Linked DNA regions of Kluyveromyces lactis. The protein of the gene in region 4 interacts with the protein of the main gene of each other region in a pairwise test. Links are inferred from orthologs where the notes say so. Each region holds a gene or a part of one and is shown on either strand. Other genes may lie near its edges. The genes, in order: CDC42, NAP1, NBA1 and AIM44.

Evidence for each region.
Region 1: the proteins of AIM44 (region 4) and CDC42 interact in binary tests that used the Saccharomyces cerevisiae proteins (3 or more experiments, as listed by UniProt). The link is inferred for Kluyveromyces lactis from reciprocal best matches to the Saccharomyces cerevisiae genes AIM44 and CDC42.
Region 2: the proteins of AIM44 (region 4) and NAP1 interact in binary tests that used the Saccharomyces cerevisiae proteins (3 or more experiments, as listed by UniProt). The link is inferred for Kluyveromyces lactis from reciprocal best matches to the Saccharomyces cerevisiae genes AIM44 and NAP1.
Region 3: the proteins of AIM44 (region 4) and NBA1 interact in binary tests that used the Saccharomyces cerevisiae proteins (3 or more experiments, as listed by UniProt). The link is inferred for Kluyveromyces lactis from reciprocal best matches to the Saccharomyces cerevisiae genes AIM44 and NBA1.

The regions. Positions count from the first base shown.
Region 1 is NC_006037.1:379,334-386,796, forward strand, and holds CDC42 (Rho family GTPase CDC42), read right to left. Parts: upstream 3,486-7,463; coding exon 2,910-3,485; downstream 1-2,909. Other genes in the region: chaperonin-containing T-complex alpha subunit TCP1, read right to left, coding at 159-1,838; GCD6 (translation initiation factor eIF2B catalytic subunit epsilon), read right to left, coding at 3,942-6,152. UniProt on the Saccharomyces cerevisiae protein: Involved in development of cell polarity during the cell division cycle, and essential for bud emergence. Affects signaling in the pheromone-response pathway through the STE20 protein kinase.
Region 2 is NC_006041.1:1,340,163-1,348,313, forward strand, and holds NAP1 (histone chaperone NAP1), read right to left. Parts: upstream 4,335-8,151; coding exon 3,081-4,334; downstream 1-3,080. Other genes in the region: KLLA0_E15005g (M20 family metallopeptidase), read right to left, coding at 1-862; PLN1 (Pln1p), read right to left, coding at 1,359-2,219; ribulose-phosphate 3-epimerase RPE1, read left to right, coding at 4,918-5,631; ALB1 (Alb1p), read right to left, coding at 5,768-6,250; DUF5427 domain-containing protein MTC1, read left to right, coding at 6,911-8,119. UniProt on the Saccharomyces cerevisiae protein: Acidic protein, which assembles histones into an octamer (in vitro). Involved in the regulation of the localization and the function of the septins during mitosis. Involved in the function of B-type cyclins.
Region 3 is NC_006041.1:1,180,439-1,189,116, forward strand, and holds NBA1 (Nba1p), read right to left. Parts: upstream 3,907-8,678; coding exon 2,086-3,906; downstream 1-2,085. Other genes in the region: FAD1 (FMN adenylyltransferase), read right to left, coding at 1-390; MTF2 (Mtf2p), read right to left, coding at 721-1,839; AGC1 (citrin), read right to left, coding at 4,368-7,088; SDD4 (Sdd4p), read right to left, coding at 7,885-8,678.
Region 4 is NC_006040.1:512,095-520,429, reverse strand, and holds AIM44 (Aim44p), read right to left. Parts: upstream 4,393-8,335; coding exon 2,614-4,392; downstream 1-2,613. Other genes in the region: PET20 (Pet20p), read right to left, coding at 1-348; MGL2 (putative carboxylic ester hydrolase), read left to right, coding at 1,073-2,395; TGS1 (RNA methyltransferase), read left to right, coding at 5,785-6,696; pheromone-regulated protein PRM4, read right to left, coding at 6,974-7,819.

The DNA.
Region 1 (7,463 bases), on a different chromosome or scaffold from region 4:
TGTATTTATTTATTGTAAAACGTTGGCCTGTTATTTGTACAGGCATGTCAGAGACGTATCTGCTAGAGTAACAATGTTATTTTCTCAATGTGGTTTGTAGATATTTAATGTACAAAAGGGTTTATCTAGGGGGTGAGGAAGGTTTGAAATTTTATTGTTTAAGCACAGGCGTCTCCTTCCTTTTCAGGTTCTGGGTCCACTGTTATCATTGTGTCAATTCTTAGAATGGCGATACATGCTTCCAAAGCCGATTTCAAGGATTTAACTTTACTGATGGTTGGCTCAAGGACACCGGCATGAACTTCATCTACGATCTTACCCTTGATTAGATCTAGTCCGTAGTTACGGTACTTTCTCCTCTTTATGTCATCTGGTTTCGCTTGCTGGCTAGCCGCATGGTACGATCTTAACTTGGCGATTAATTCACTGGAGTCCTTGGCAGCGTTGACGGCTAAGGTCTTGGGGATCACTAGTAATGCGTTGGCAAATTCTGCAATAGCTAGTTGTTCTCTTGATCCAACGGTAGTAGCAAAGTTATCTAGGTAGATGTTCAATGCAGTTTCCACACATCCACCACCTGGTACGACATTCCCACTTTCAAGTGTTCTCTTTACTACGCATAGCGAGTCATGTAAGGAACGTTCCATTTCGTCTAACGAGTAATCGTTAGGACCACGTAATACGATGGAAGACGAGGAATGTTTTTGAGTGCCTCTGATTAGGATACACTCATCATCTGAAAACTTGGTTTGAACCACTTCTTGACATGTACCCAAATATGATGATTCAAATACTTCATCTCCTTCTAAGTTCGACATATCGCTGACTAGTGTGGCACCAGTGGCGCGGGCGATTCTTCTTAAATCTTCCTTCTTACAACGTCTAACACCCATAACCTTGGCATTAACAAATTCTTTGATACATAAATCGTCGATACCCTTGGTGGTCAAGACGACTTGAGCACCAGCATCAATAATCTTCTTCACTTTATCCAAGATGATTCCAGCTTCACGCTTGCGAATCTCCTCTAGTTGTTCTGGGTCATCGATATTGATCTGAACACCCATTGCCATACGAGCTTTTTGTAGATTCATATCTAAACAAGCGATCTTGACGTTACCACCGGTGATTTGTTTTGGCATAGCTTGAGACGCTACGGTACAATTCAAGGCGTAACCTTGAACCAATACGGATTCCCTAGCAGACTTACCATGGGCCTTCAAGATGTTAACGGCCTTGACAGGATATTTAACATCACCCTTCGCGTTTTGAGTTCTAACAGCTAATAGTGCATCAACGACCATGTTACTGAAAAACTCGGAATCTGAACCGATAATCTTGGAAGACATACTTGTCTTTGCAATGTTTAGCATTGTATCTTTACCTAGAGTGTCCACTGGAACAGAAAGAACTTCATCAATGTAACGAATTGCCTCTCTAAGAGCAACCCTGTAACCAGTGATAATAGTAGTTGGATGGATTTTGTTCTTGACCAAATCATTAGCTTTCTTCAATAGCTCAGAAGCAATGATGACAACACTGGTGGTACCATCACCAATTTCACGATCTTGCTGTTGTGCCAAATCAACCAAAATCTTACCAGCTGGGTGCTGAACATCCAAAAGCGCGAGAATGGTAGCACCATCGTTAGTAACGGTGAAGTCACCAATGTCATCGACTAACATCTTATCTAAACCAACAGGCCCCAAAGATGATTTAACGACATTTGCCACTGCTAAAGAGGCTAAAACGTTCTGGTTACGGATGTCATCGCCAGAAATTTTCTCACCACCTAGAAATAACGTATCGGAACGTGAATTCCCATATACCTGAGCCATCGTTCAGTGTTATTAACGGTCGTAGTGGATCTGATGATACTTTTCTCAAAGCGCTCACTTCAATTACACTTTTCAAAATCGCTTGTTGTTACAATATTAGTATTTTGTATTGAAGGTTTTTCACGAACTTAGAATTTCGGTTCTTGGAGGGTAGTGAATGAATAGAAGGAAACAAAAAAAAGTCACGTGAATAAGTGAAGATGTTGCATATTCATCACTGCATGGAAAGTCTTTACCGCTGGCGCTTCAAAGAGTTAGAATTGGGGGGTGTATTCATTGGAAGAGATTGTTATTATTATATATTTTGAGTTCGTATGCCATTAAAACCGAGATTTTTATTGTTTTGTTATAAGACAGTTCTATCTTACAGGTAACCCAGGTTAATGCGAAGTAACATCCATTTCATCATCCAAAATATTGCATGGAATCTAAATGTTATTTAAAATATGGTTGATGGTTTAAATATGATTTTATAAGACGTTCCGAAGTTCTGTATTTTTGGATGTGTAAAGTACTTTGCAAGACCAAATAGTATAATTAAAGCAATATGTTAAATGGAAAATGTTTTTATATTTATATAAACTATTGAGCTAAAAGTCAATTAGAAGCCTGAGAGGTTAAATATATCATGAGATAATGAAATCCACACACGAAGAGTAATTTCGTTGAGGTTTTATACTTAAACAAAGCGATACTCCATAGTGTTTAGTTTTTCGCTTCGAACCAGTTTCGTATTTTAGACGGTTTAGAATTCAAACAAAGAACCAAACGTTTGGTACTTCAGTTTGTCTATAGAAATGTCAAAGAGTTATGAAGTAGTTTTGGTAGTTTTAGGATGTTGGTTTAGTGAAATGTAACGCTTTTTCTGGAGATGGGGGGTAGAGCTTTTTTTCTCTTTTGAACCTGCAAAAACTTGGAAACACACTCTCTATCTCACAATCATCTATAAATATAAAACTGGACTTGATGGTGAACGGGAAGATTGTTAAGAACGCTCATCCTTGAGTGAGAAACTTCTTACCTGATACATGTACTGGTAATAAAAAAAAAAAATACAAGGCCGATCACTTTTCACAATATAATACATTTTTTACTCTTTTTAATGACTGGAGGTTCCAGAGCAGCAACAATAGCTTCGTCGAAAACGTTTTTCAAACCACGCTGGGTAAGAGCCGAACATTCAACATATTTTACGGCTCTAAGCTCTCTGGCTAACCTTTCACCTTGCTCTGGAGTGATAGGACGAAGCCTTTGTCTCTGTAGTTTTTCAATAATCACTTTATCATCTCTTAAATCTATCTGAGTACCCACAATCAAACATGGAACACCAGGACAATGATGATGTACTTCTGGGAACCATTTTTCTTTTACGTTCTCAAAAGAAGGAGGAGATATAACACTGAAACAAACCAAGAACACGTCTGTTGATGGGTATGATAACGGTCTTAATCTATCATAATCTTCTTGACCAGCTGTATCGAAAAGACCTAGCGTGTATGGCTCATCGCCAATCATCACCGTAACAGCATAATTGTCGAAAACGGTTGGAACGTAGTCGGCTGGAAACTGGTTAGTTGTGTATGAAATTAGAAGACACGTCTTACCGACAGCACCATCACCTATAACAACACACTTAAGAGTTTGCATGTTTTAAATTCCTTTCTTCCTTGCTTTTATACTACTATCACTGCAGGCCTTTACGGTGTTACTTCCGGCTGACTGTGCTATGTCTAACATCCAATTTGTCTGACTACTCTCCTTCATCACATACATATCTTCGTCCTCCTGTTCTGTTATTTCAATTTTGAAATGGGAATATGTTAATAGATAAGGAAGTTAGGGTAACGTTGTAACGTGACTTGAATTATTTTCAGTCAAACTCTCCCATATAGAATACAGGAAGACCGCATAGGCGGTTGGCAGTCCGGTAGTGAGGACACTAGCCTTGAAATGCGTACGTATATTTGTCTATAGATTACTTTGCATATGGTTATCTCACGTTTACTCGAAATGCTACATGCTACATTATATTGATTGATATTGACCAATCTTGAACTTCGGAGGAACCATGAAAATTCAAAGGGCATTTATGACGTTATTGACTTATTCGTCTTCGTCACTGTCTTCTTCATCAGATGATTCTTCATCTGCAGTCTTTAGCCAGTCCACCCATTTGGCCAGTAGAGCAGTAACTTCGCTGTATTTTGAATCACCGCTTACAGAGTCCCACCATTTGTAAATGACATCTTCCTCTAAGATATCCAAATCATACAAGACATTATATACATGGAATAGAATGAAATCTGGTTTATCGAATTTCTGATCTAGCACACGATCCAGAATGATATTCATTAGATCAATGAACTCATCACTATCAAATGCTTGTCTCTTAAACACAGGACCCCATTGTTGTAAGACTTTAGTGACAGCGTCCTTTGGACCTAGTGTTTGTGTGGCTACAAAGTGGTAAACTCTTCTGAATATAGCGATAACAGAAGCATTCCTGACTTCATGATAAGTGACGTTCATACTCATTCTCAAAGTGTTTAGTTCAAGCATTGATGTGTCTAAATCGTGGTTGTTCTCTATAGCTCTTTCAACTGTTGCGATGGCTTCTTTTTCGAAATCTTCTTCTTCGTCTTCTTCTCCTTCGTAATCAGTATAGATACTAGTCATCGACATGGTTCTCCTCTTTCTATGTTTTTGAGTGATGGATGATATGGAAGTATCCGATAAATAAATGTCATCGTCTCTGTACGTTAATGTGTTCGCAATACCCTTTTCGGTCGATCCATCTTCATCTTCATCCTCATCATCACTTTCGTATAGTACGCCTCTCCCGTTTGGCCCAACCAACTGCTTAGATAGTTTAATCTTCGCATCGGCAACTTCATCGGAATTACTGATTGATAAAGAAGATGAATTTCTGGTGAATGTGCTTCCTTCTTCGTCCTCATCGCTGGAAGAAAGATTATGTGCTGTATCTAAGAATTGAGCTGTGTTCCTCTGTACTGGAACCGCTGAAATCTTGGTTCCAACTGGGATTGTAACATTATCGTCAATCACTACATTGAATCCGATAATGGAACCATCATTCAAGGTGACGTTTGATCCTAATTTAACATCTGAAGCAACTAAAGAGTGCTCAATTGTAGTGTTATCATCAATGACAACATTGTCCCAAATGTAACTGTTTTTGATTCTGATGTTTGAGCCAATTTTACAATTTCTACCAACAACACTATTTTCAATGACTGTACCTTCTCCAATCTTGGATCCTGAGCCGATGGCCGTGTTTTTCTTTATCTTACAGGACTGCGCTAATACCACGTCTTTTTCCTTATAAATGTGTTGGCTTTCGTATGAATAAGTTTGGCCCTTTAAAAGGTTGGCATTAAGAACCAATGGGTAACACCATCTAGCAATAAAATCTTGCGAGATAGCATCATACGTTTGCCAACTTTCTGCTCTAGTGGTGTATTCGTCGGTAATGTACCCGTAGATATGTTTCTTCAACAAATCACTAGAAAGCACACCTCTAACAAAATCTCTTCTCAAGAATTGGTAATCGAAATTCTCTTGGAAAATAGCAGGGACATGAGGAGAACAGATATCTACATGGCAATCAATCAAATCGTTGCGTAACACAAACTCGTCAACACCTTCCAGAAGTTCAGGATCAATATCAATGGTAGTTTTTTCTCTAGAGCTAGCCAATGGGATATCCTGGTAGTAAATACATCTATCATTAGACTTATCAAAAATGAACGTTGCTGGTTCATGAGACCTTGTCTTATGAAACTGAGTCGCTTTACTTAGGCACATAGTGACAATATGATCCTTATCAGCCTTTCTCCTTTGTTTATGAATATCTAAAGCCTTTTCAAAGTCCATATTAGTCACCAAATCACCACTAACAAGTACGAAATCACCGGTAATTAGCCCACGGTTATCGACATCTCTCATTGCATCTCCAACAGATCTGGACTCTAGCGACATGATGGTATTCACCTTAAACGGAGCCCATGGTAAACTCCATTTGGACTGATCGATATATTCCTGGATCTGTTCACCATGCGATGCACAAATCAGATAAACTTCGTTGACTCCGGCCTTAGCTAAGAACTCCAAAGTATATTCAATCAAGGGAATGTTGGCCAACGGCAACAAACATCTTGGTTTCACCGAAGTCAAAGGCATAAACCTAGTCTCAAACGAGTCAGTCAAAACAATCGCTTGTAAACGTTCATCTTGAACAACCTCTTGTTTCTTATTCTGATTGGCTTTACCAGATTTGGTCTTCTTTCCACTCATCTTTCGATTGTAAATTACGGGAAACTCTGGAAACAAAAAAAGCTTAAATGAGTACAAGTATACTATTAATAAACAGGGTACCTTTTTCCCCGTTCTAACCAAAAGACTAAGCGTTTCCAGAGCGATAAAGTTGGATGATTTTCTCTTCTCGATAAACTCATCATCATGTGTAATATGTAATTAATTGATTGTTCAATATTCAAATTTCATGTCATTTCTCACTTTCAATTTGAAAATAAGGAAGAACCAAGACAAGAAAAAAATTTCAGATACAACGCTCTGCGTGAATTTCTGTGTAAAAATCAGAATCATCATAGTAACCCATAAAAAAAAGATAGTTGAAATATGAGAAAAAAATAGATGCCCCTGGTGGGGTTTGAACCCACGACTATCGCGTTGCTTTGAAACGACCTTTTGAAGGGCCAATTTTCATAGAATGTTCCATATTGATTGGAGTCACACTATAAGCACGATGCTCTAAACCACTGAGCTACAGGGGCTTCAATGATGTCTTATTTGCTTTTGTTGATGTTTATATTCTGCGAACCAATAATTTTTTTTACCAAAAGAAGGCATACCTTGAACCATAATGAACACACAATTGGCCCTTCAATAAACCATTAATTGAATTAGCAGAGGTTCTTTGAACTTTTGTTTAGAATATCATTCCTATTTAGAGGTTTATTATAAAATTTACCTAGCAGCAAACATTACATAGAGTATCAATCAAACACCAACATAACAAACATTTACAGCATGTTCCTAGGCAGCTGGAACGTTCTCTCGGAGGAGGTTGCTGTACATACACAGGCTGTTGTTGGGCGTAGTAGCCTTGCTGTGGCTGGTTGTGATTTCTCATAGTATTAATTTTTTTAGTGATAGTTCTTCAGAATAGGGTCTTTCAGTTTCCTATTGGTATTAGAACAGTACGGCTAACACAACAGACCTATTGATTCACTTGAGTGGAGTTGGCAAAGAACTTATACAATTAAAACCCAACATGCTTCAAGTGACATTATATATCAAAAAAAAAATATCAACAATATACAGTCCGAGTAAATGATGGATCGAGTTCTTGCTTATATATATTTTGTATGTGGAGTCGACGTAATTGTTGTACCTTATTTTTAACTGCTTTAAGTGATATTTTTGTTATCACTGCCATTTCCATGAGGCTTCCGCTATTCGACATTTTTTTTTGATTTTTGGGTTTTTTTTTTGCTTTGCTTTTAAACAATAAGCATGAAAGCAGTGCGACAGATATTAAGTTTAGTACGAAACGTAAGTTTAATTATGTAAGTGCACACATTG
Region 2 (8,151 bases), on a different chromosome or scaffold from region 4:
TTATGCTGCTTAATGAACCCTTTTCACCAACTGCCGGTAAAGCGAAATAGGTGTCACCAATTTTCTCTACCGAACTTCCACCCTCATCTACAATGGCATATATCCCGTCAGTGCCATATTTGTCCATAAGGTGCTCGTTTATGGTCTGGGCACCATATCCGCCACCAACTTCTTCGTCAAATCCAAATGCCAAGATCACAGTACGCTTTGGTTGGAATCCGCCCTTAATTAATAATTCCACTGATTCAAAAACCGAATTGACCAAAGCTTTGCAATCAGCAACACCTCTACCGAAAAGATTCTCGCCATCAAACGTACCATTGTATGGTGGATACCCCCATTGATCTATGGTTTCTGCATTGACAGGCACGACATCTTGATGTCCTGCTAAAACTAAAGGCTTTAAACTAGCATCTTTCCCCTCCCAAACGTAAACCAAATTGTATTTGTATTTAGTTTCATCAAGTTTCAAAGTCTTATGCACTGCAGGGTACGTCTTACGGAAATAGTCATGTAACACTGTGAAGTTTTCATATACCTTAGGAAATTCAATAGGATCTAGATGAGAATCATACGATTCAGTAGGAATTCTAACGGATCCTAATAGTTTCTCAACGGCATCGCTACGATATTCGACATCGTGTGTGATCATTTCCAAGGTCGAGTTATCATTGATGTATGAAGGCGGTTTCAAATTTGGTGCGTTTGGACACAATGGTTCACTTGCAGTCTGATTATCTTTCAAGGTCCTTGACCATCTGGATAAATGCAAACCACATAAAAACAACAAAACTGTCACCACAGCCAAGGCCTTTAGCCTTAAATTAGAAATATGAACGTCACGATTCTCCTTAATACCCATTGTTTACTCGATAAAAACCAGTCGCTCTTTCTACGATACCGTTTACAACGTCAAAGCTTCAAATTCTGAGTCTTCTCTCTCTTTGCTGTAATAATAGCACAAACCTCATTAAGGATATTTAATTTATACTAGCTGTACATAAATATATCTGGTCGAAACTCAAAGGTTCTGCATTGCCAAAAGGGTTATATAAAAGAGGACGTGGGGTATAATATAATAGAATATAATAGTCTTGATTAGTTTGTAAAATATAACGTACAGAGCCAGCCATACAGAGTTCTTGAATATTTTAAAGCTTGGTGTTTCTCCTGCTGCTTAGTCGATATCATAGTTTGCATCGTATCCTTATCTATTATCCATACATAGTGATAGAGGCCGAGGGAAAAAGCAACAAACTAGCTTCTTGGAACCACTTGGTTGCATAAATGACATTTAAGAATGGTCTTGGCAGTGAAAAAAAAAAAAGCACAAACAAACGCAGAAGTTGCTTCTGGTTTCAGGTAGAGAGACCTTTCAAACCTTTGACGGAGGTTTCTGTGTCGACAGTTGTATTTGACTCATCACCGACACCGTTGTACTTCTTCAATTTTTCAATGGTCAATGAACCCAAATCTGACCCTGTAGTCAAGATAGCTCTAGGAACGGATTCAGTTTCCTTGAAGTTCGTGTCGTATTTATCGGAAACAGTCTTGTAGGCAGTTGAATATGTTTCCTTTGCCGTGGAAATGGCTTGTTCATAACCATCCTTAGCTGGCTTCACCAGATTATCATACCTGGCAACAAATTTCTCTTTAGTAGGCTCCAATACATCCTTGGTAGTGTTTCCCAACTCCTTGAAATGGGGCAAGTCAACAGATTTCCCACTAGAAGATGGATGCGTCTCATCCTTGATTAAAGACAAGGGTCTCAAAATCAATTCTTTCACTGTATAGTTCACCACATTAGCAGTATAGTCTACTACGAAATATGCCACCCATACACCTAACTTCCCATGGTCATGGTATTCTTCAACGAACGTATCAATACCTTCTCTGAACACCAAGGTGTTGATGAATTCGTCCAACTTCTTGACAATGGCAACTGATCTGTTGAACGATCTTTTCACGAACGTTGGGGTCTTTGGAGACTCGATGACTTTGATCCTGAACTGGAACAAAATTAGGGAAATGGTAGAAATTATATTTGACACCAAAGACAAGCTCAACAAGGCATTAAGCCACTTTATCAACGTCGGATACTTGTTCAAATGATTGATAGTAGCATACTGTGTAGCAAATTTATCAGTAGATGGTTTATCAACAACAAGTCTAACTGAAGAAGAGGAGCGGGACCTTTGCTTTTTAACTGGGCCTGTCATTTTTAAAGGATCTTTGTACTGTATTTGGTTCTAATGGATAAAAACGATAGATTTCCCTGGTTTACAACAACTGCACAACTCTATTTCGCCTTTAAAAGTACTTTGCAGTTCTACAAACTTAATAAACTGATATAAATATATATTTATATGTAATAGGTTCGTATCCCTTTGAAACTCAAAGCAATGCCTTTTATTTATAGTCAGTCTCTAAAACATTATCACAAGTTTTCCTTAATTTGAATTCAATGCAGAAAAAGAGGCAGAGATAGAAACCAAAACGAAACTGAAGGATACAGTGGGCTAACGTAGTTGGTGTTTCAACTGCGATTAACATTGCCATGTTAATCCGGAAGGAATATGTAGATCAGATATGTTTCTAGATCCACGGATTATTTCGTGCCTTGCCAGTAGTCTTGTCACCATTCCTTGCTATTACCCAAAAAGTAAGCAATAAACAGACTTGCTCCCTATGTACTTTCATTCGTAATCTGCTCGTAGTTCTTTTTGCTATACACTTTTGCTGTCTTTAGGGCTCTTAGTTGTGCCTTTTCAGCCCATTTTTCTTACTGGTAACGGGGCCTTCAGGGGTTCAGACCGTTAGACCGTTACTTCCGTTTGACTTTGACACCACATGATGTGCATGTCCAGACCTTATGGCCATATATTTCCACCTGCTTAAAATAAGAACAGGTGGAAAACCGCGCACAAATTGTATGCATGCCAGGCACCGTCCGTATCTGGAACATGCGTTGAGTAGATTGATGCAAGGCCACAGCTTAGGGTGATGTTTAGATAGAGAGTAAATACTTTTGATAACCACTGCTTACTATATATCGGTGGATGTGAAAAAAAAAATCTCTTTCAGGATTGCTCGCATTCTGGAGGTTGGACTTTCTTCAGAGCATCTTTATTAGCGAAGTCGTCCTCTTCTTCCTCTTCTTCACCGTCCTGATCGTCAAATTCATCGTCGTCTTCTTCTTGTTCATCGCCGTATTCTAATTCTAGTGCTGCACCGGTGAACCAATCCACTGCCCTTGGAATCAACTTGTCCTTGATCTCTTCACCGATAGCATAATCTACAGCCAATCTACTCTCAAGTTCAGCGATTTCTTCTTCGTCAAGATCGTCTTCTTCTTCGGGATCCAGAGACTTTGGTGGGTCAAAGAAGTTGAAGAACGATTCCACTGGTGTCAGCTTTTCAATGGTACGAATTTGTTTAGTAGTCTTGTTCTTTTGTTTTCGTCTTTTCACTTCGACTGTAACGTTATGGTCATTATCGACCCAGTTAATGGTTTCACCCTCTGCATGGTCATAGATGAAGTCGCCAGAGTAACCCAATTCGGACTGGTAGTAGTATGTCTTTGTTAAAGTTTCGTTAGTGAAGAATTCGTTCTCTTTATCGAAGGTGAAAATCAATTGGAAGCCTGGTTTACCCTCAGTTAGATACTCTAGAGTGATGTTCGTCAAGTATGTCAATACATCACAGTCAGCTTCTGTCACGTTTTGAGAAACCATTGGTAAGTTCTCCATGGCTGTCAACCAGAAACAAGGGACACCAACGATCTCTTCCTCACCTTCCTCCGGTTCCTGGTCATGCTCTTCTTCTTCATGCTCATCTTCACCATCCAAAGATCCCCCGCGTTTGATTTCTTCTTCAGTGGCTTCCTTATCACCTGTGATCAACTCGTAACGGTGTTCGTGTAATGGTTTGTATTTCTGCAGATATTTTTGTTCAAGTTCCAACATTTCAAGCTGGAAATTCTTCTCCAATTCGAACAAATCGGACTGAATAGCCTTTAAGGCTAAGATCCTATTGTTCACAGCTTTTGGGAGTCTTTCGAAAGCTTCTTCATCGCCTTCTTCCTCTTCCTCTTCTTCTTCTTCTTCACCCTCATCTTCTTCGTCTATGTTCAAGAACTCCAACTTTTCATTGATCCGGGATAAAGATGGACTCTCGTTGTATTCGCTATCGTCATCCTGATCTTGATCCTGGTCAGACTGCTGCTGTTGCTTCTTCCTTAAATATGAATCCTTAAGCACGCTAGCTGGTGTGTTATGAGGCGTTGGTGCATTATCGATCTTACTCGACCTCGATGTCTTGATAGGGTTGGACATTTTTATGATGTGATCCTTACTATTTTGCCAAATACACTCAAATGTATACAGCTAATGTAGTTCAAATATCCTGCTGCAACACTCCAAGTATCACAAATAGCCCACTACCTCTACGATCAGATGTTCCAAGCTGTTACGTTTCCTACTGAAAGAAAATTTTCTGGCTAAAAAATGCTCTTCTTATATATTCCTTACATATTAAAATAGATCACGGAAGCATGCAAATACTGCAACCGTATGCCAATTCAAAGGACTAAATCGTACCAATTCCTGGTAAAAAAACTCGGAATAAAGCACTCCTGATATCAACGGTACATTATATAATGAATCTTGAGCTGTAAAATACTCTGAAGTAATCCTGATCCCCTCTTCTTTCTCTCAATAGTCGCTTTCTTTGGATATCAGAATTTCAGTTTTATAAAGAATGCAATAAAATTAGAAAAAGCAGCAGGGAATTCTTTTCAAACAAGAACCAACTACCCAATTAACGGTCTGCTCTGCTCATTATAGAATACGATTTACCATTACCTGTTCGAGTTTAAGGTCAGCAGTTTACAAAACTATAATAAGTTTCAATTTTAACATGGTTCGTGCTATTATTGCCCCATCTATTCTAGCCAGTGATTTCACTAAATTAGGTTGTGAATGTCACAATGTGATTAACTCTGGTGCCGATTGGTTACACATCGATATTATGGATGGTCACTTCGTTCCTAATATGTCATTGGGACAACCGGTTGTCGAATCGCTACGTAAAGTTATCGGAAAGTACAACGATCCAGACACCAAGTTACCAAGAGCATTCTTCGATTGTCATATGATGGTTAGTGAACCTGAAAGATGGGTCGAAGATTTTGCTAGGATCGGTTGCGATCAGTTCACATTCCATTACGAGGCTACAAAGGACCCGGTAGCGTTGGTTAAGCTAATTAAGAAGCATGGTATGAAGGCTGCCTGTTCTGTGAAGCCAGGTACCCCTGTGGATGTGTTGTACGAGTTGGCACCATCCCTGGATATGGCTCTTGTAATGACTGTCGAACCGGGTTTCGGTGGCCAAAAATTCATGGCCGATATGATGAGCAAAGTGAAGGACTTGAGAACTAGATTTCCTAATTTGAACATTCAAGTCGATGGTGGTCTTGGTAAACAGAATGTCGAACTTGCTGCCGAGGCAGGTGCCAATGTCATTGTTGCCGGTACCTCTGTGTTCCGCGCGCACGACCCAGCAGATGTCATTGGATTTATGAAAACCAAGGTCAATGATGCATTAGTGACCAAAGGTTTATACGAAAAGTAGTAAGTACCTAAGTACATATACGCACTCTTTTTTATGTCAGAATAATATTTAATGAACGATCCGTTTAAGATCTATCCTAGTATACAAAATGTTTATATAGACAATGCAAACCCCATTTAACGATTTTTAAGACTCTCTACAAGAAATACTGACCACCTAGAGTTGTACCAGAACCTGTCTGAAGGGATAAACCTTGAGATTGAATATCTTCCAACACCGTGGAAATAGCCTCTCTCATCTTTTCCAATTGTCCTTTCTTGGTTTCCTTCTCCTTCTTCACAACAGGCGCATCAATCTGCATACCACCGTTTTCCTCACTTTGAGATTGTAGATCAACTAATAGTTTTCTTTGTTCCACGTATTTCAAGTTACGTTCGATCTTCTTTGCTCTTTTCTTCGAAAGAGTCTTGGTCGTAAGAGCACCAGAGGTCGAATGCTCGCCTTTGTAAAGATCCAATGGTATACTCTTCAACTGACCAGATTTAGATGTTCCTGAAGATCTTGCTGGTGCCAATAAACCCTTCTTTTCCATAGCATCTCTCTTGGCAGCACGTTGATGAACCTTACGGTTCAAGTTAACCTTTTGCTTTGGCCTGTTAATGGAGTTCTTAGATGGCATCTCGAATTTTAGTACTGTGATTAACCGTTAACTTGTAGTTCCAGGAATACTAGCCAGTACTAAGAGTAACAAGTAACAAGATAGCTAGCACAGGTGAATAGTAACGGGGGATCAAGTACATGGTATGGAGATGCATTAACTTTTCAACAGATTCGCGATGAGATGAGATGAAAAATTTTAGAAAAGAAACGGCAGTACAAAATAGATACGGTATTAGTTAATGAAAAATGCTAAGATTTAAGCCAAGACATGCCGACATTGGTACTGGAGAGCACCATCTATGGAAGGGGTAAGAATAGGTGGTGATAAAGGCCACGGTGCTCATTACATTTCGGCTAACTGCTCACTTTATGTATACCAGCGTTATTTCATGGTAATGAAAGTGACATAGTTACCCGGATATTTAAATACGACCCACCCTTAGAATGGACCAATACATGAAAAAAACACACGGTAGTTGGAACCATGACAATAGAGAAAGGATAGAAACTATATACTTGTGTTCACAAGGATTAGGAGGCTAGTTTAAGTTCAACCGTTGGAGTTTTGTCTTGCCTTTCAGCGATAATTTTCTAGTTTGAATATATCGATTCTTGATTGAACAATTCGTATCAATATTCAAGTTTTATCGACAGTAAAGACTTAAAAAGAAAACACCAAATGACTAGTGATGCCGATGATGTGCTAGAGTTTTTAGACTCTTTACCAGCCAGTACTGCTAATAACACTAAGGGAAAGGGTAAGGTTAGTGGGAACGGCGGCCAGGATGAGGATATTATGGAATTCTTAGACGAATTGGAAAATAGTAACCTGGATATTAAGAAGAAACCGTCCAAAAAGGACAAGCCACAATCCTCTAAGAAGCAAGAGAAAGAGAAACCGGAGGAGAAGCCAGAATCGAACGAGAAACCTGTAGAAGAGACAGCCAGTAAAGAGAAACCGAGTGAACAGAAAGGAAAAGAAGAACATGTGGCAGAAGAAGGTGAAGAGGCAGTTCAGGACCCACTGGCGTCAATTTCCAATTGGTGGTCATCTAGCGGTTCTGCTACAGTATCCAGTTTCTGGAACAAGACCACAGAACAAGCCAATCAATTGAAAGAGAAGATAGCTACTCAAGAGGGCAACTTGAAAATAAACGACATAGGGGCCAGATTAACGGCATTGCAGGGGTCTCATGTCATTTCTGGGCTTACTTCACAATTGACTAAGATTGTCATTGGTGAAACGGATGAAGTGATCAGAATTCATTTGGTTCATGATTTACACAATTTGAACGAGGAAACGATTACGTATCAGGTGGAAGACCAATTCGAAAGATTACTATCGCAACAGGTGCAAGGTGGAATAAGAATATTTGCTGATGAATGGGATCACGGCAGGAAAGTGGATGATAACGTTAACTTGAACCTTTTCCAAGGTAAAGCCGTTGACGGTGAAAAATTATGCTTGGCCAACCTTGACAATGCAATCAAGACGTGGGAGACTGCTAAGAAACAATCGAGAAGAACCAGTAACCCAGTGAGTAAAGTAAGCGATCTTTTTGTCAGCATTCTGGCCTGCGAGGTTACTGGGAAAGACGGATCATCCGAAGCCGATTCTAACACTGTTTTGATCGACGCATCGAGACAAAACAACTTCCATTTCATTGTCATCTTGAAAGACATAAGTAATGATATCTTGCTAATAGTGAGATCCCAAGGTTACCCCTCCAAATGGGCCAAATGGTTACAATCCGATGCACTAAGCGATGAGGAATCCACAGAAAAAATCGACCCAAGTGATTGGGTGAAACCATGGATATCCGAAGGTCTTGATCTAACTTTCGGTATTCTTGCCCAACAATACGTCATAAGCAGAATGAATTTGTGAAGTGTCTTTTACATACATATTTTAAAACCCTA
Region 3 (8,678 bases), on a different chromosome or scaffold from region 4:
CTCCACGCTCCGTTGTAAGAAATCTTGTGCCGTAAGAAAGGTATCCTCTTGATCAATGTATACAGTGGGTAGTTGCTGCAACGGGAACATGTGGAACTGGAGATCGTACTGTGATCCCTGTATTGACATGAGGAAAAATTCCCATAGACATCCCAGATATATGATTAGCAACACTTGACAATCCTTGCCACCGTTGTATGAAAATGATATCTCGCCATTGAACGGATCCCATCTAGTGAATATATCCTGCAGAAGGTACCGTCTACTCAGCTGTATCGATTCTTGAGTCTGTTTTATTACATCTCCGGTTGTGGCTACGGCAGATTCGGCATCGATCGATAAATACGACTGAACGATGTTGTAACAGTTCAGGGCAACGTCTTGCAACATTGCAGAAAACGTATCTGTATTATCGGTTCACACTATCTGATCTTTAGCGAAGTCCTAGACTTCTGCATTTACGGTAAATTGAATCAAAGTATATTGTAGTTGTGTCAAGAAGGTTTATAAAACCTCGAATTGCCTTTGAACGATTTTCATCACATAAGCCAAGAAGATTGAAAAGAGGTACAAAACAAAACCATTCCGTTTACCATCCGAATGATACCGCTCGTGACTTTATGTATTCACCATCAGCTACATTTATAGGTGTATTATCTATATTATCTTAATTATTTACATTGTTAGCTTGTTGTAGTTGGTCTGGCAAATCTGTTTTCCTTACCTCATCAACGATCTTTTCAACGTCTTGAGGTATTTCGTCAACTGGTCTATGACATTAGCATTCTCTGTACACCACAATACACTAGTTTTACTCAACTCCTGGTCTGCCTCACCGATTCCAGCGTTTTCGCTCACAATGACATCCGTTATAAACCTCACTTGTTCGCATATATCTTCCAAAATCTCTGTAGTGGCAATATCACCGGTGATACCGTTGGCATCCATTTCGTATACCAGTTCCTTTACCATGACCAAATCTTTATATTCTTCCCACATAAACTTAATTAGCAAGTTGTAGAAATCGATGTTGCATACGTCAAGGTAAAGGCCGAGATCTTTACAACTTTTGCATTTATTGTAAATTGTCTTTAATATAATATAGTTTCTATCTCCAGGTAGTTTGAACTCTCCACTATCAAATATGTACCGTATGATGGCAGGTAACGTTATTGAATAAGGTTGTGGTAAATTGGATGGTTCCTCGCAAGATCTCTTGTGGATCACTTCGATGAACCTTTTCGTTTGAACCTCCATCTTGGGATCCCTTTGCAAGTATTGGTCCAAGTAATGCATGCAAGTGTCCAACAACTCTTTATCTGTGGTCACAGTCTTCTTTAAATGATTCAAATGTGGGGCTAGTGCGTGTTCCAATGCTACTCTCAACTTCTCTTTTTCTGCCACTAGTTGAATGGCTTTCTCTATGCCGGATAATCGCACATTTTGATAACTGGTCGCCGATATTGGTAAATCTCTTATATCATGATCACTAAGCCTGAAACTGGAATGGGGTAGCGGTGTCTGGCTATCAGAATCTTTATCCGTCTCCATTATCCCTGTCCATGATGGTGATTTATCAGAGAAGACGATCTGTTTATTGAAAAACACTGGATTCAATAACCTGTTCATCGCCTCTTTATCCGGGTTCTTTTTCTGTTTGATCTCTTCTATCACCTCAGAAATGGTATTATGTTCTTCAATAGCATCTGCGGTGCTGCTGACATGCTTCTGCCCCAGTTTACAGCTCTGTGAAAGTAGTCTTCTTGTGGCTCTTGTTGTTACATTATGGAGATGAGCTTTAAATAAAAGAGATGAGTTCATTCTGGCAGCATTCAACATATCGTAAACCACCTCTGTCCTTAGATTGGCTCCTTATACAAGCTTAAACGACTGGTATCAACACTGTGAGAGACAATAGATTGAACCGTAGGCATCTTTTGCAACGTCTTTTATTAATCAAAGCCAGTGTTTCCTTCTTTGATTTAAGAATTTTTCTTTCAATACTTATTACATTTGGTATATATTGATTCTTTACTGATAACGTTAATACAAAACTGAGAAGAGAAAAAGCACAAAAAATTCGTATCAAAACCCATCAAGGGCTTTAGTAGCTCTTTCAAGTCTTCTTAAACCTTCTTGGTACTTTTCTGGATCCAGAACCATATCTGCAGTCAATCTAGAGAGAGAATCGACCAATCTTTCAAGAGCTCTTTTCTCTTCGATCTTCATACCAAGGTTAGAGAATTCTGACCCTATCAGGGTTCCCTTTGTAACATTCAATAGTTGTGAGATAGTATCTATATCGAAGGATCTTAGTTCTTTGTTGTGTTTGGATCCGATTTTTTTGGTTTGATTGTGGCTTTGGTTTTGGCCTTGACGTTGGTGAGATTTGGATCTGGTCTTCGAATGGCCTTTCTTGGGAGCCTTTGGCAGCTTACTTTGTGGAGTCCTTACTGATGAGGCAGCTTTAGTGGAATCAGCACCTTTCTCTACTATGTCCTCGTAATCATCATCATCTTCTGGATCTTTTACATTGCACACTGCCTGGTCATTCGGTTGTTGTGTGATTTGGTTCTCTGGGGTCTCCAATCTTGACGATGATGAGCTTGGAATAGAAGGTAGTGGCCTAGTAGTGTATCCATCCTCCTGTGGTCCCATGGTATCATCTTGCTCAGTAGCAGAGAAGAAACTTTCAGATCTCACACTGCTTTGTCTTGAATGTCTCTCACTCCGGCTTGCACTGGCACTGTGACCTTTCCCCATCTCCTTTGCAAGTTGATTCTGAATATCATCTAAACTTTCCTTGATAAATATATGTGACTTGGGCCTTCTTGCGCTTCTTGGTGGTACTGTTGGATGTAAGTCTGATATGATTTCAAGTTCTGGTTCAGCACCAGCGGTCTTCTTACTGTTAACTTGAGTTTCTAGTGGTGGTAATATACTCGAAGCAATTGATTTGATTTCGGATACCTGAGATATATCTTGCTGGCTTGGAGCCTGTGATATGTTTAGTGGTGTAGTGTCCGAAATTGCTTCTGTGACATTGACCTTGGGGATGTTATTATAATCAGAAACTGGAGTTTGTTGTTGCTCATCGTACGATTCCTCTTTAATTGTCGTCGTTTCAAGTTGAGATAGATGTTGACAGTCACCACTGTTACCAGTAGCACCATATTGCGAGGTATGGTCCAAATTTACCATGCTGGATCCCGAATTACTTGTGGCAGATGCGTTATAGGAATGTCCACTTTCGCTTGCTAGATTACCTGATGCGATTGATGAAGGGACCTTCTGATGGGACATCTCCATAGATACAAGTTTTAATGAGTTGTTTTTCTCTAAAGTAGGAGTCGTATCTGTTTCAGCTGGTTGCCCAATCTGTTCTTTCTTTAACGAAACCTGAGGTTCTTCCGTATCAATAGAGTTTCCTACTGGTTTTGTTGTTAATTCAGACAATGCATCTGCTGATGCAGCTGACCATTCGCTCTTAGTAGGGAAGGGCGGTAAAGCTGGCTCTTCAAAATTCTCCTTCTTCACAGCGGTAGTACTGTTATTTTTGACTATATAGGAGACTGGAACACCTTCATGGACAGTGCCTGAATAAGCCGATATTATGCTTTCTCTGTTTCCTGGCGATTGACCGTTTAATTGTAAACGATTCCCATCTGGAGAAGGCTGAGGGGACCCATACGTATTGAAGAATGCCACATTTTGATCGTTAGATGTATATGACAATTGTGGAGATGCCCTTTCAGCAGAATCTATTCCCTTGCTTGGCATATATATTTCATCATCCAAACTCTCATGTAAGCTGTAATTCTCGATCATAGCAGAAAGTCTGTTGTAATTAGGGTTGTTGCTAGCGCTTGGTGGCCTAACTGCACTCTCCAATGGCTCTTTACTCATTGTATTTGTCCAAGATAGTGCTTCTGGTTGTAGTATTTCCCTTCTTTCCAGATCAACTGTTATTGATACCTGGGATAGTATCCTCTAAAATAGACTTGTTTCCAAAGAATTCCCTCAACAACAAGCAATTTCAAAAATAAATGTATCTACCTCAATAAGTAGATGGTTGTTAGTTGCTACAATTACTATACTGGGTTGACAAACCTCTAACCTGCGTTTAGATCAAAGATTCTTACAGTCAGTAAGGTGTTGATGTTTTGATTTCACTGTTGATCTGAATTCCAGATCAGGAAAGATAGTAAACACTTAGTATTTGAAGGTCAGGTGACAAGAATTGAAGAAAATGGAAGTAGACAATAAATAGGTGTTTACATTAGTACCGCACCTTGATGCGCGTGTGTATACAATGATATAAATGCATACGTATTAAATAGTGTTTCGAACTTAGTTCATAATGTACATTAGTTGCTCTTAGGGCCAATTCGTTTCAATTCATCTTGGAACTTTCTGTAAACATTAAAATCGAACTTGGCAAAGTTGTAATCGAGGTCTATGAAAACTTTTGATATTTGACAGCTCTTGTAGTAGTAATTGAGGAAATTACTGGAGTATGGGTCCACTGATGGACCATAGAATTCTATCGGAACTGGTTCATGGCTGTAATGATTATTTTTGAAATTTTTGTAGAAGGTTGTGAACAAACCAGTGACGATGGGTGTATCATCCTCTACGTCGGAATGCTTTTTGGGTCCGCCAAAAGAGCTTGAGTTATTGTTGCTGTCGTTGTTACTGTTTGTTTCATGGTTCTTGAAATGCGATGGGAATAACCCTTGGAACATTTCAAATGCTGCCAAGGTGAAACCGAACTGTGGGGAACTTCTCAACACACGAGCCGGTCCACCTTTGAAAAATGATTTGATGCTTTCCTCTTTCAAGATCGTTCTTGCTGCATGGATTACACCTGTATACGTTGTTTCTCCCTTCCTGGGATCGATTTGTAATCTGGTCTTAATCACATCAAAAGGAGTGGTCAAATAAGCTGCTGGCATACCTGCGATCCCACCAGCCAAGAGGAGTTCCCAGGTTTTGAGTTTGTTTCTCTTGTTTTTATCATTTGGATCAAAATTAAATACATCCTTCTTTAAATGAGCATATGTTGGGAAATATATGGCGGAGAATGGGACGTCTCTCAGTAAGCATGCTGCGGCACCTTTGTAGAGACCGCGAAGGCCCAATTGCCTTATAATTCCTACTGCACCTAATTGTGGCCTTGCATTTTCACCGACGTAATCTGATCTCATTTGTAATCTGATCTTTACGATTTCCAATGGATTTGTAAACACAACTTGGCAAGCACCAGCGGTGGCGCCTGAAAGGATTTCTTGGTACCATTTAATCGTACGAGACTTGTTCATGAAATACTGTCTCATGAAATCGTTCACTGTCAATTTGATAGCTTTTTCGGGGGCTACACCGATTAACTGTGGGCCTAGACCAGAGTAAAGACCTCTAATACCCTTAGTTTGGAAGATTTTCACAACACAATCAATGGAGTTTTTGTACTGTACACTGTTACGTTGCGCTTGCATTCTTGTCTTTACCAGGTCAATAGGGTACACGACAGTGGCGCCGATGCACCCAGCTATGGAGCCTAACGTAAAGTTATGAATCGAATCAAAGATCGGGTAGAAATAGAAGTTAGAGTACCATGATTCCGATCTAATTCTCTTCAACTCCATGGAATGCACAATATCGTTCAAATAGTTAGGGTTCAAGATTTTCATAAAGTCTTCCATAGTAAGGTTACGACTCTCGGCAGTATCCTTTGGAGTCTTACTTGCCCAAAGACGATCCAATAATGAGACTCTTTGGCTTTGCTTCCTTTCGTTATGTTCTTGTAACGAAGAAGCCTGGCTAAATTCATCCACAGTTGAGTTATAGTTTTCGTTGAACTCTTTAATAGTCCCCTTATTAATATGAGGTCCCATCTGAACTTGGCTATGAATGAAATCGTCGATGGTTTCATCAGAGTGGTGCATCGAAGTCAAACATTGGTGCCTTGACTGTTTTGAGTTTGATACAATGGAGAACAAGAGGTTAATCTGTGATGGGGAAAACTCTACAATATTCGTCACTTTGTTATACTCTTTATTCAAAAACTCCATAAAGTCCCTCTTCGTAATCACTTGCTCTCTGACATCGTTCTCATCGAATTCGTAATATTGTGCGTAACGTATAAGCACCTGGTTCAAAAGATCAAAATTCTCAAATAAATAAAATATGTCTTTTATGACATTGTATTGGATATAATTGTTATCGCATTTGATAAGCTTTGTGTTGGATAAATCCAAAGAATTGAAAACATCTGAAGAGACTCTGTGAGAATAGAACAATTTCAAAAGGTAAGATAGCTGGTTCTTGGAAAGCGTCCGACAATTTTTCGATGGGTTCAGATGGCATAATTTATTGAACCCAACGAACATTTTCTCATCTTTCAAATCGCTTTGCAAAATCGTGACGAGCGAATTCAAAGAGAAATAAGTGCCTGAAGATTTCCCAAACGGACTACACTGGTAAAATGGGAACCAACGAAATTCGTTCCAATTCAAAGCCAAATCATTTTTCATAATAAATTCATCGTTAACGCATTTTTGTAAGAACGAAATAGTGGACTTAAACTGATCGACGTTCAAATACAGCTCATCAAAACTCAGGAACTTATTCCCATAATTGATATATTTCACACGTTGATCATCGATATTCGAAGTTTGTCGGGCCCGTATCCTTGCCACATCAAACTTCCTGAAAAACTCATATAATACAATCAAATGGTAGTTGTTGAACTCCAAGATGTTGTTGAAATGGAACCAATCGTTGATGGTTAAATATCCTTTATTCTGTTCATCCATGGCGAAAAAGATACATCCAAATACATTCTTCGGGATCTGATTCAAATTGAACGAGTGATCAGTAAACTTCGAGTACAACGACTGCGAGTTCGATATAAGCCTGATGAAATCATCGTACCTTAACACCGACTCACCAGTCTCTCCGGAGTCCGAAACATCGCTAGCATACGGTTCTCCCAGCTTTTTCTGCTCAGCAGTAAGCACACTGGCATATTTGCTAAACACCTCCAGCTGCTGCTTCTTTTTCTCGCTATTCGAATTCACTAGTTCCATCTTTGCATGTTGTTATATGTCTTTAATACTTTTTGCCTTGCTTCTATTTCTGTGTCTCTCTTTAAATCATATAATAAATAATAACGTAAACGTAAAATGCCTTAACGAATGATAAAATGCATTCAAATCTTGACTTCTTGACAATGTAACGAATGTTCAACCCAGATAACTAAAAGATATGCACAAACGAAATTATTCAAAGTATGAAATATCACCTTGTCTCACAGCTTCATTTAATGCTGGACGGATCAGAGAGATGCTTCTAAAATAAATAAAATGTGCCTGTTTCCAAAACAGTTTTGGCAGCGAAATCTAACTTCCCAACTGTTGGCTGAACGATACAGGATTAAATACGAACTAAACAACGTTAATGTAATGATGTTAAATCCAGTTTCCAATCTCGTGTTGGCCATCTCTAACAGCTTCTTTGTATTTGAACCGATTCAAAGCTGTGATCTTTTTTTGGGCAAAAAGATTTTTCCGGGCCCTCGAAAACGGAGTTTCTGGTGGAATTTCGGCTCCGATTCTTTCAATGTGCTTACGTTACCCCAGAAACATTGTTTTAGGGACCCAAATTCGGATTTCTGGCCCGCTCGGGCCGCAGGGTCTTTCCAATGGAGATTGGAGCTTGGACATCAGGTCATGTGACCTGAAAGTGTTTTACCTATATTTCATGGTAAGCAGCAAGTTTGCATGTCCAGATGTGTGTATTATTTGTATTTATAAAGTCTGCGTTATAGAATGTCTGACTGTTCTGTTTGTTTTCGTTGTTTTTACAAGATGGCACGACGACTGATCAAGTCTCGTACATGTGTTCGCATACAGCTTTTTCTCTACCGATGGATCTTTCCAGGCAGTTGTCGAATAAATTACTGAATTCTCTACCCAATTCCCAATAACATCCATGGAACATGTCTCTCATGAATAGCATCATTCCGGCGAGATGGTTTGTGTTTGGGATGTTTCTTAGTAGCCTTGCCTTTTCTTTCAGTTGTTGGTGGTGTGTGAATACGTCGAGATTTTCTTTAACTTTTAAGTACCTGTACATTTTCTTCAGATGTTGTTGGAAGGTTTCTATGGGGACATATTCCGATTTCACCTTCATGTTCATCTTTAATGATGCATCAGGGGAGTTGTCCCAAATATGGGTTTCTGGGCCGTATAGAGAGTAATTGTAAGACCAAATTAAGAGTGTGGTCAATGCCAAGGTGTTTGGTCTAGTGATACAATAGTCGAGATTCACGTCACATGACATATCTTCTCCGTTGTGGAACATCTCGAATAAGAACATATAAGCATAAATAATGGCCATTCCACCTTGCATCGGGTCTTGACTGAATTTTAGGATTCTTTCGCTCACCAATGCATATTCTTCAGTGCCAGCACGAACGTTCATTCTCCAAGGTGCGCCTACATATATGTAATAGTCGTATTGGAATATTCTTAGTATAATTTGGGTCATGTGGTAGGCTGGAATCTTACACGAGCGAACGTCATCTAGCCTCAACAGTTTGATTCCTTCGTCGTCCACCGCATCTATGTGGGACAGGACTGAGTTTGATGAATTGTTACAACCGTGCATGACTTCTT
Region 4 (8,335 bases):
TGGTACTCTTGGTAACCATGAATAATCTCTAGATAACTTCTTCGTGGCCATTTTTATGATCTTCTCCTCTGAATCCTTACCTAATTCCGCAGAAGGAGAAGAAGAGGCAGATGCCGAACTTTCTTGCTTACCTTCAAGCTTCATCGAATCCACAAGATCGCCGTCCTCCTTACGTTTTGATCGTTTACTCTTGAGCTTCGATTGCTTCAAGTTCTGCTTTTGTAACATCTGATTATTTTGGAAGTTGACAGAACTCTGGTTCCTTACACCATTTATAAGTGATACCGCAGATATGCGATTTTTCACGTATATAGAGCGTGAACCGAGACGTACATTGCTGAACATCATTGTAATTATATGTGCCTCGATATAGAAGTATCCTTCTATCTTTCACTGAGGGAAAACCAACAAGGAGTAAACAGATTCCAGATTTTCCAATAAACAACTCGTAGCAACACCTAAAAAAACAGCTCGCTTCAAAAGTCTCTAACCCTTTGACAGTGGTGATCGATCTAGTAAAACTAATAGCAACCTTGACGTAGATGTTAATGTTCTGCTATCAGCACGTTATTTGTTGTATATCGCTGTTGTATTCTCGTGAGGATAAACCTCTCGTTAAATGGGTTGATTATTAAAAGTGAAAATCAGGTATCTTTATTTTCAAATTTCTTTTCAGTTTCCGGAACCTGTAGATGTGTGTCATAGGTAACGATTATATTACATAATTTTTGTCCAAAATACTAATAAACAAGTGACTTTAGGCTATATGTTTGTAGCCGTGGCAACGCTTAATTACCCATAGAGCATCTGATTCCAACGTGTAGCGATTTCTTTTACCAACGATTGCTCGCATGTCAATTGTGTGTTTTTTTTTTTTCTATCTAGAATTGTCTTCATCTGACCTTACGTATTTTATCTTATAATGGGTTTTTGAAGAAAGAAAAGTAAACCTTAATGCTATCGGTCTTTAACATTATGGTAGTTATTCATGGATTAATGTAATAGAAAGAAGGTACATTAGAAAAGAGGATCAATAACAGTGTTTGAGTGTTAGAGAGCTTTTCAGCTACTAATGGTATTGGGAGAATTATATTCGTTATTACCGTGGGTTCAAACTGTACAGCAGTTCTTACCTGATGAGCTGTTACAATTTAACAGCGAACCAGGCAAAACTGCAAAAAGTGTCAGCATTAAATCATTAATTGACAAATATGCACCGGAGTTCCAACATAATAGCAAGTGTGTGATTCCACCTTTTCTTTGCAGTGGTCATATGCAGACGATTTTTGCTTCGATGTTCACTTTCGAATCGAAACATTTGGTTTATTATAAGAGATATATTCTCAATTATCCAGACGGCGGTGAAGGTGCACTAGATGTGTGTGTTCCCCAATCGTTATGGAAAGAGACTGGTTACGTTCCCAAAAATCAGAGAAATCAACTGCTTCCGAGGTATACCTATTTTGATGCTGATGAAAAGTTCGGATCGTCTGATACAAAGCCGATGCTCATTATATTACATGGGTTGACAGGTGGTTCTAACGAAAGTTATGTCAGATCTTTAGTTGACACCATCACGAACGAGTACAATTTTGAAGCCTGCGTCTTAAATAGCCGTGGGTGCTGCCAATCAAGCATTACGACACCATTTTTGTATTGTGGGCTATGGACTGATGATGTAAGGTTTTGCGTGAAGGAATTGAGGAACAAGTTTCCTAATAGAAAATTCTTTTTATGTGGGGTCTCTTTAGGGGCAAGTATGACGGCCAATTATCTGGGACAAGAATCCGATCAATCAGACGTAGAATTAGGTGTTGTGTTGGGAAATCCATGGGATTTAACGGCATCATCTTATCATTTGGAAAGAAACTTGATAGGGAAATACGCCTACACTCCAGCGTTAGCGAAAAATTTAGTTAAACTAACGACATCTCATCTTGATGTTTTGAAGCAAAATCCTGAAATGGCGCGTATGTACGCCGACCACCTACATGAAGTGAAAACAGTGGAAGAATTCGATAACTTTTTTACGGCTAGAATGTTTGGATTCAATACGTCTTTTGAATATTACAGGCACGGTACGAGTTCGAACAGATTAAACAAGTTGAGAACTCCATTACTGATTCTGAATGCCTTAGATGATCCTATTGTTGGATGTGAAGCGCTACCATATCGTGAAGTCCAAAGTAATCCGTACACCTTAATGTTAACAACTACAAGGGGAGGTCACATTGGATGGTTTGACATGAACTTGGACAGGTGGTACGTGAAACCGTTGTGCAGATTGCTTCATAAATTTTATACAGACATTTCAATGCAAGGTCTCGCACCCGATCTTAAATCTGTTGACCTGCCTAAAGAGAATAAATTCAAAAATGATAGAATCATCAGATAAAGTTAATTAAACAACCCTGTCTATATCTGACTCTATCTGTTGAGAACTAGAAATGCGATAAATATGAACAACAAACGTGGTTATCTTAATATGAATATATAGGAATCAATGATGTTGTAATGCTAATGAGGGGAGGTGGAAGAAGGGAGTTATGTCCAGGAAAAATATGTCAATAATAAATGGGCTCTCTCCTAATGCTAATGTATTGAAATGAGATATCAGATGCTGATACCTACAGGTAATGTTAGATTTCTCCGAACACCGGCTTTCACAGAGGTTTGGAAATTAGCTAATGACGAAAAGCTTTCGCGTAAACTCTGTGGAACAACTGCTGGTGTACTTCTCGAGGAATCAGTTAGAGTGTCGAACTCATGAGGGGAGTCACATTCTGACATGGAGTCATTTTCTGTTTGTGCGTCGTTATTCGAAAAGATAGCATCGCTTTCATAGTCTGTGACAATGGCGTCAAGCAATTCTTTGTAAGTATGGTGATCTTGTGAAGCTTGGAACTTCGCGACTTGCAATCTCATCAAAATTCTTTGTGAGATAACTGCACGAAGGTAAGAATCCCAAGCCTTATTTGCATTCAGAATTTTGACAGATTCACTCAATGATTCCATTGAGGCAGACGAACTCATAGCGTCTTCGAAGACAGAATCACCATCATGTAAGGATGATGTAATAGATCCCATCTCTGACTTTAGTGGTTGCATCTTTTGTGTATCGATAATATATTCATCTTCGTCTTCTTCGTCTTCGTCTTCTTCTCTAATACAATAATCGTCATGATCGAATTGAGAAAGTGGTATCACCTTATTTTTAACAACGATGGAAGGTTGTCTTACCGCTAAGTTTAAATTTAGAGAAGGTTGAGACCTAACTAAACGGGTTGAATCAGTTCTTCCGACGGAAGAATTACTTCTAGAAAAAATAAGTGAATTACTGCTCGTAAGGATCGATGCTGCACGCTTAATAGAGGATGGAGTTCTCCTCAATGAACGATGGTTGATGTTGGAGGAATGCTTGACAATCGGGGTATTCTTTATATCCAATCCAGATGGAACGGTTGGAGAGGATGTATCAGAGTAAGAAGCCATTGATCTCATCGATTGTGACCTCTTAATATTTGCGAAATACCCGTTTGAACGAAGTAAATGTGATGTTGTCCTCTTATCAGACTTTGCGAAATGACGTTGTTTGTACGTAAAGAGTTTGCGTTTTAGAGCCAGGTGGAACTTCTTAAGGTTTAATCTTACACGTTTACCGAGCTTAGTGAAATAGTGTAAGAGTCCACCTTTGCATCTTATCGCATTTGATCTTTTTATATTCGACCTTCTTGACACAGTCGAAGTTGATCTTTTGACTGATGATTTCCGTTTCTCACTTAAGTTCGTGGCGTTTCGCGTTTTCGTAGACGGCGTACTACGCTTCTTTAGCATTGCAGTGGAGTTACCAGATGACAGTGTGAACTGGAAAGAAATATTGTCGGCAGTCGGCAAAGTGAAATCAGAGGTAACCGTAGAATATGCTTCTGGTATGCATTGCATATCAAAGTTACCATCCAATGGCCTGCCAAATTCAGGTGAGTTTGTGGGACATATTCTAGGTGTTCTGTCCGGTGCCAGTGTTCCAGGATAATGCACTGAAGAACCGGAAGATGATATATATGAGTACCTGTTGTTTCCAATTGCACAAGCTGTGTTCTTGACAGCAGACAACTTGTCAGGATTAGTCGTATTATCAGATATGTTAGCAAATGAGTAGTATCCATTAGATGAGTTACCGGAGTTGGAATTTGTCGTGGTATAGTCAGATAAATGCTGGGAGTGAATATCGTCTTCTGGCTTCTTATTCAATTGCTCGTTTAGTAGATGATGGTTGTTTAAACCATGTTCTGGCAATTTAAGATGAGCCAAAACTTCAACATCTGGGAACCTAAATTCTGATTGAGATCCATTATAGGACTTGGTTTTGGTTCTTGTGGGAGTTCTGATCATTTATTCGGTAATTCAGTATTTACCAGCTAGAGTATTCGATGATAACAGTATTGCACGTAATTTTGAGTAACGCTTTTAAGATATTTTACGAAGCTTGCACCAGGAAAGGTTACGCAAGTGGCTCATGATGACAAAAAAGACTCATACAATCGTGGAATCGCTTTCCCCATTCAGCTTATTCAAGTTCTTCATTCATTCCTTCAAATATATATATATATATATATATATAGATACTGAAAGGATGATACCAGACAACAATTTAAGGAACAAGCTGACCTGATTCAGTATCAATGATTAGTTGCAGGGCCAGCCATATTTACTAGAGGCCGCATACGACACTCTACTGGAATAGCAAATATTGCTGACCTTGTATCAGCTTGCCCTTATCTGCAAAGACATGCTAAATTTCATGCTGGGTTCGTAATGAAAAGGGAAATTAGATGCTGGGCAGAAATCTCATCCGTACACCACGATGGAATACACACGTGACCTGTTTCACAACATCTTACTCATAAGGATATCTTGAAAGGAAATTATTCATTCAGCCCAAGTGACAGCCTGCCCATCTATAATTCTCTTAACATCAGAGTGCCTAGATTATCATCATGAACTGAGTTTATATATATACTTTTAGAATACCAGATATTTGTTGCATTTTGTACCAATATATATTTGGTGTCACATAATGTATCGTCATCTCAAAACTAAGTTAAGACTGTTTCAGAATAATAGCAGAACAATGATAACCTGCTTTCTTTTATCAGTATTTTGTCTTGATGTATTTCACTACCATTTTATGTAATTACTTTAGTGCCAAATCCATTATATTTTCTGGTTAATGACGAAGGAACTCGAAAACTTGAAATTCGCTATGATATTAAATCAAGCTGACAACCGAAGAACTAACTGACTTTACCATATTCTGGTAAACAGTTACATTCAACGGTTTATCTACAGGTATAACTTCAGAACAGAGTCTACTGTACTCTTTTTGGAACGGTGGGAGATGAAGTACCCCTATATCCTTTTTTGTTGAAGAGTATTCGTTCTATGTCAAAGTTTTCAGCAAAGCGGGGCTACAAGAGAGAGGTATTCTCTACTTTACACCTAAAGTAAATGCAGACATGCCGCATTGTTAACAACTAGAAAGGCAAGGGTTTGTAGATGCAGGTCAGATGTTGGTAAAATCACACATCTTGGAGATGGCACTTGCTAATAGTTCCTTTCTATATTGGATTTCTTTTCTGCAACCATCATTTTATAAATTTAACAAAATTAATGCAGAGAGATGCGATGAGATGGGATAGTAAAAACAACACATAATATAGTTATAGTTTAAAATAATGGAGCAGAACTGTTGTCCAAGTCATTAAGATATTTATTTAAAGCCAGATGTCGTGGCTCTTAAAGACGCCAAAAGATCTTGGATGTTTTGAAGGAATAGATGGAATAAACAATATAAAAGTAAGGCATCGATTAAAGAAACATTTCTTCGATGATAGTTACAGAATAAACCCTTACCAAAGGCCGAATGATAAGAAATTATTCAAGTTCTGGAAAAATAGGGCAACCATTTTCAAGCTCATAAATAATGGTAACATATATTTAACAGACGAATTGTGGTTTAGTGTCACACCCGAAAATCTTGCACAGTTTACTGCAAATTATGTTAGGCATTGTCTACCCAATGGAAATTGTATTGTTGATGTGTTTTGTGGAGGCGGTGGTAATACCATTCAGTTTGCAAGATTATTTGAGAAAGTTTACGGGATAGATTCAAATATCGACCATTTGTATTGTGCCTATAAGAATGCTGAGTGTTACAATTCTGCTGTCAAGCTTAAACTGATATATGGTGACTGGGAAGAATCATTGAAAAAGACTTTAGTCAAGAACTTGGGAAAAACACCCGATTGCATATTTGCTTCACCTCCGTGGGGTGGTGTTGACTATTTGAGACAGGACACTTATGACCTCGAAGAACATTTACAGCCGTCGCCATTATCAAAGATACTTAGCGTTTTCTTCTCTGTATGTCAGAATGTAGTTTTGTTTCTACCGAGAAACTCAGATCTTGATCAGTTGTCCTCAATTACTCATGACTTATTAGGCCCTGATGAAAAATGTAAAGTTGTTTATGTTAAGGATAACGGTTACATGAAAGGAATACTTGCATTTTGGGGGAGACCATTCTATGATTTTTCTGAGTACTATCCAACAGAAATAGAGGAAGAGGAATCGCATGAATTAAATAATAAAAGATCATCGAAAGATCTTGAAATTAAAATGGAGGATTTGTATTGAAACATTTGTATTTCACACTTGTGTTTCACACTTGAGTGCTTAATGGACTTTTTGTAGATTGAAATATTAGTATACTGATCACCTCAAGTATTATTATAGAAATTATAATACATATAAAATGGAAACAAAAGTAATGGAAAATGGCTTCCTTTCCGCAGGAGCCCAAAAATAGTAGTAAAATGCGAGAAGCGAGAAATATAGGTCGTCATAAAACACTCATTAAAATGATTCTTTACTTTGTTCATACAAGCAAATAACCACCAAAAATGCAAGGAACTCAAGAGTTGGATGGGATATCCACCTTTGAAATAGATACCTTACTATCAGCAACGTGTCTAAGCTTTGATAGAAGGGACCCGTCTGCATGCTTGTTCAATATATCGTCTTTCAAAGATTTGTTGATTAAGGAAACGCCATTAATGAATAAATATGGGACATCAGGAGATTTCGAAGATTCTCCATAGTTTGATTTATAAGTTGCTAGCCTATTCAACTGGATATATTCTTGCATAGAGTCACCAAATTGATGTTTGTCCAAGTCAACAACAATAATCTCTGGAGAAAAAGTGTACTCTAACGTCAAAACATTCTTCAAATCCACAGAGTTTTTCTCAGAAGATTTTATGAAAAGAATCACTGGCGAAGTATTCAAGATCTGCTGAAATCCTAAGCTTGGACTGAACCGCTCATTACTAACAGTGATTCCACCAGTTCCACTGGATCCGCCGTGTTCAACTATTACCGGTGCTACTTCGGATTCCAGAGGAGCCGTCATCTTAGGTGACAGGACCTTGTGTTTACGTAGTTCCATCCGCTTAGTACCTTCAGCTTCGTTGATCACAAGTTTCTCCTCCACAATAGAATCTGCAGCAATATTCGTAGAAGCATAGTTGATTCCACTACTAATGCTACTAATGCTACCATCAATACTTGGTAGTGCACTTACATCAGAATCATCTTCGGCACCAATCTGCAAAGTTCCAAGCGAAAACTGCTTGTAATTCATAAACGACTCATCGCTACCGACACTGTACAGGATAAGCAAAACGACACTAAACAACACAAGCGAGGTTACCACTAATCTATTGCCCTTCTTACTTGTCTTACCGGATCTGAGACCCATATTTCACAATGATTTATTGTCAATTTTCGCGTTGCACTACGCATAAAAACATATACCTAACCACATGCAACAAGAGAAAGGTTGGGATACCTTTATAAATGTAACTATATAGACATACCTACATATATATATATGTGTGTGTTTATAAATGTGATTATGCTTTCCTTTGGTACTTTCTTCAGAAAAACTTGGTTACCCCAACTTTATTTCTCGAAGCCTTGTTTTGTAAAGCGAGAGAAGTTATGAAAAAAGTCACAGAAAGGTTCGCACAGAACTAACGTATCTAGTTTCATTCCTCGATTTATTGGTGGTTCCTTTTGGAAAATCAAAGGAAAATCGAAATAATACACCAAATTGCTGATAAAAAACACTAAAACATGCGCAGGACACAGCCCGAATAATATCCCCGACTGTTATTGGGGATCAGGCAAGAGTCGGAAATCCCAATTGAGGTACAGGGAGTAAGGAATAAGACATGTTCCACGAGAAAATCACGTAAATCAAAAAGCGTAAAAA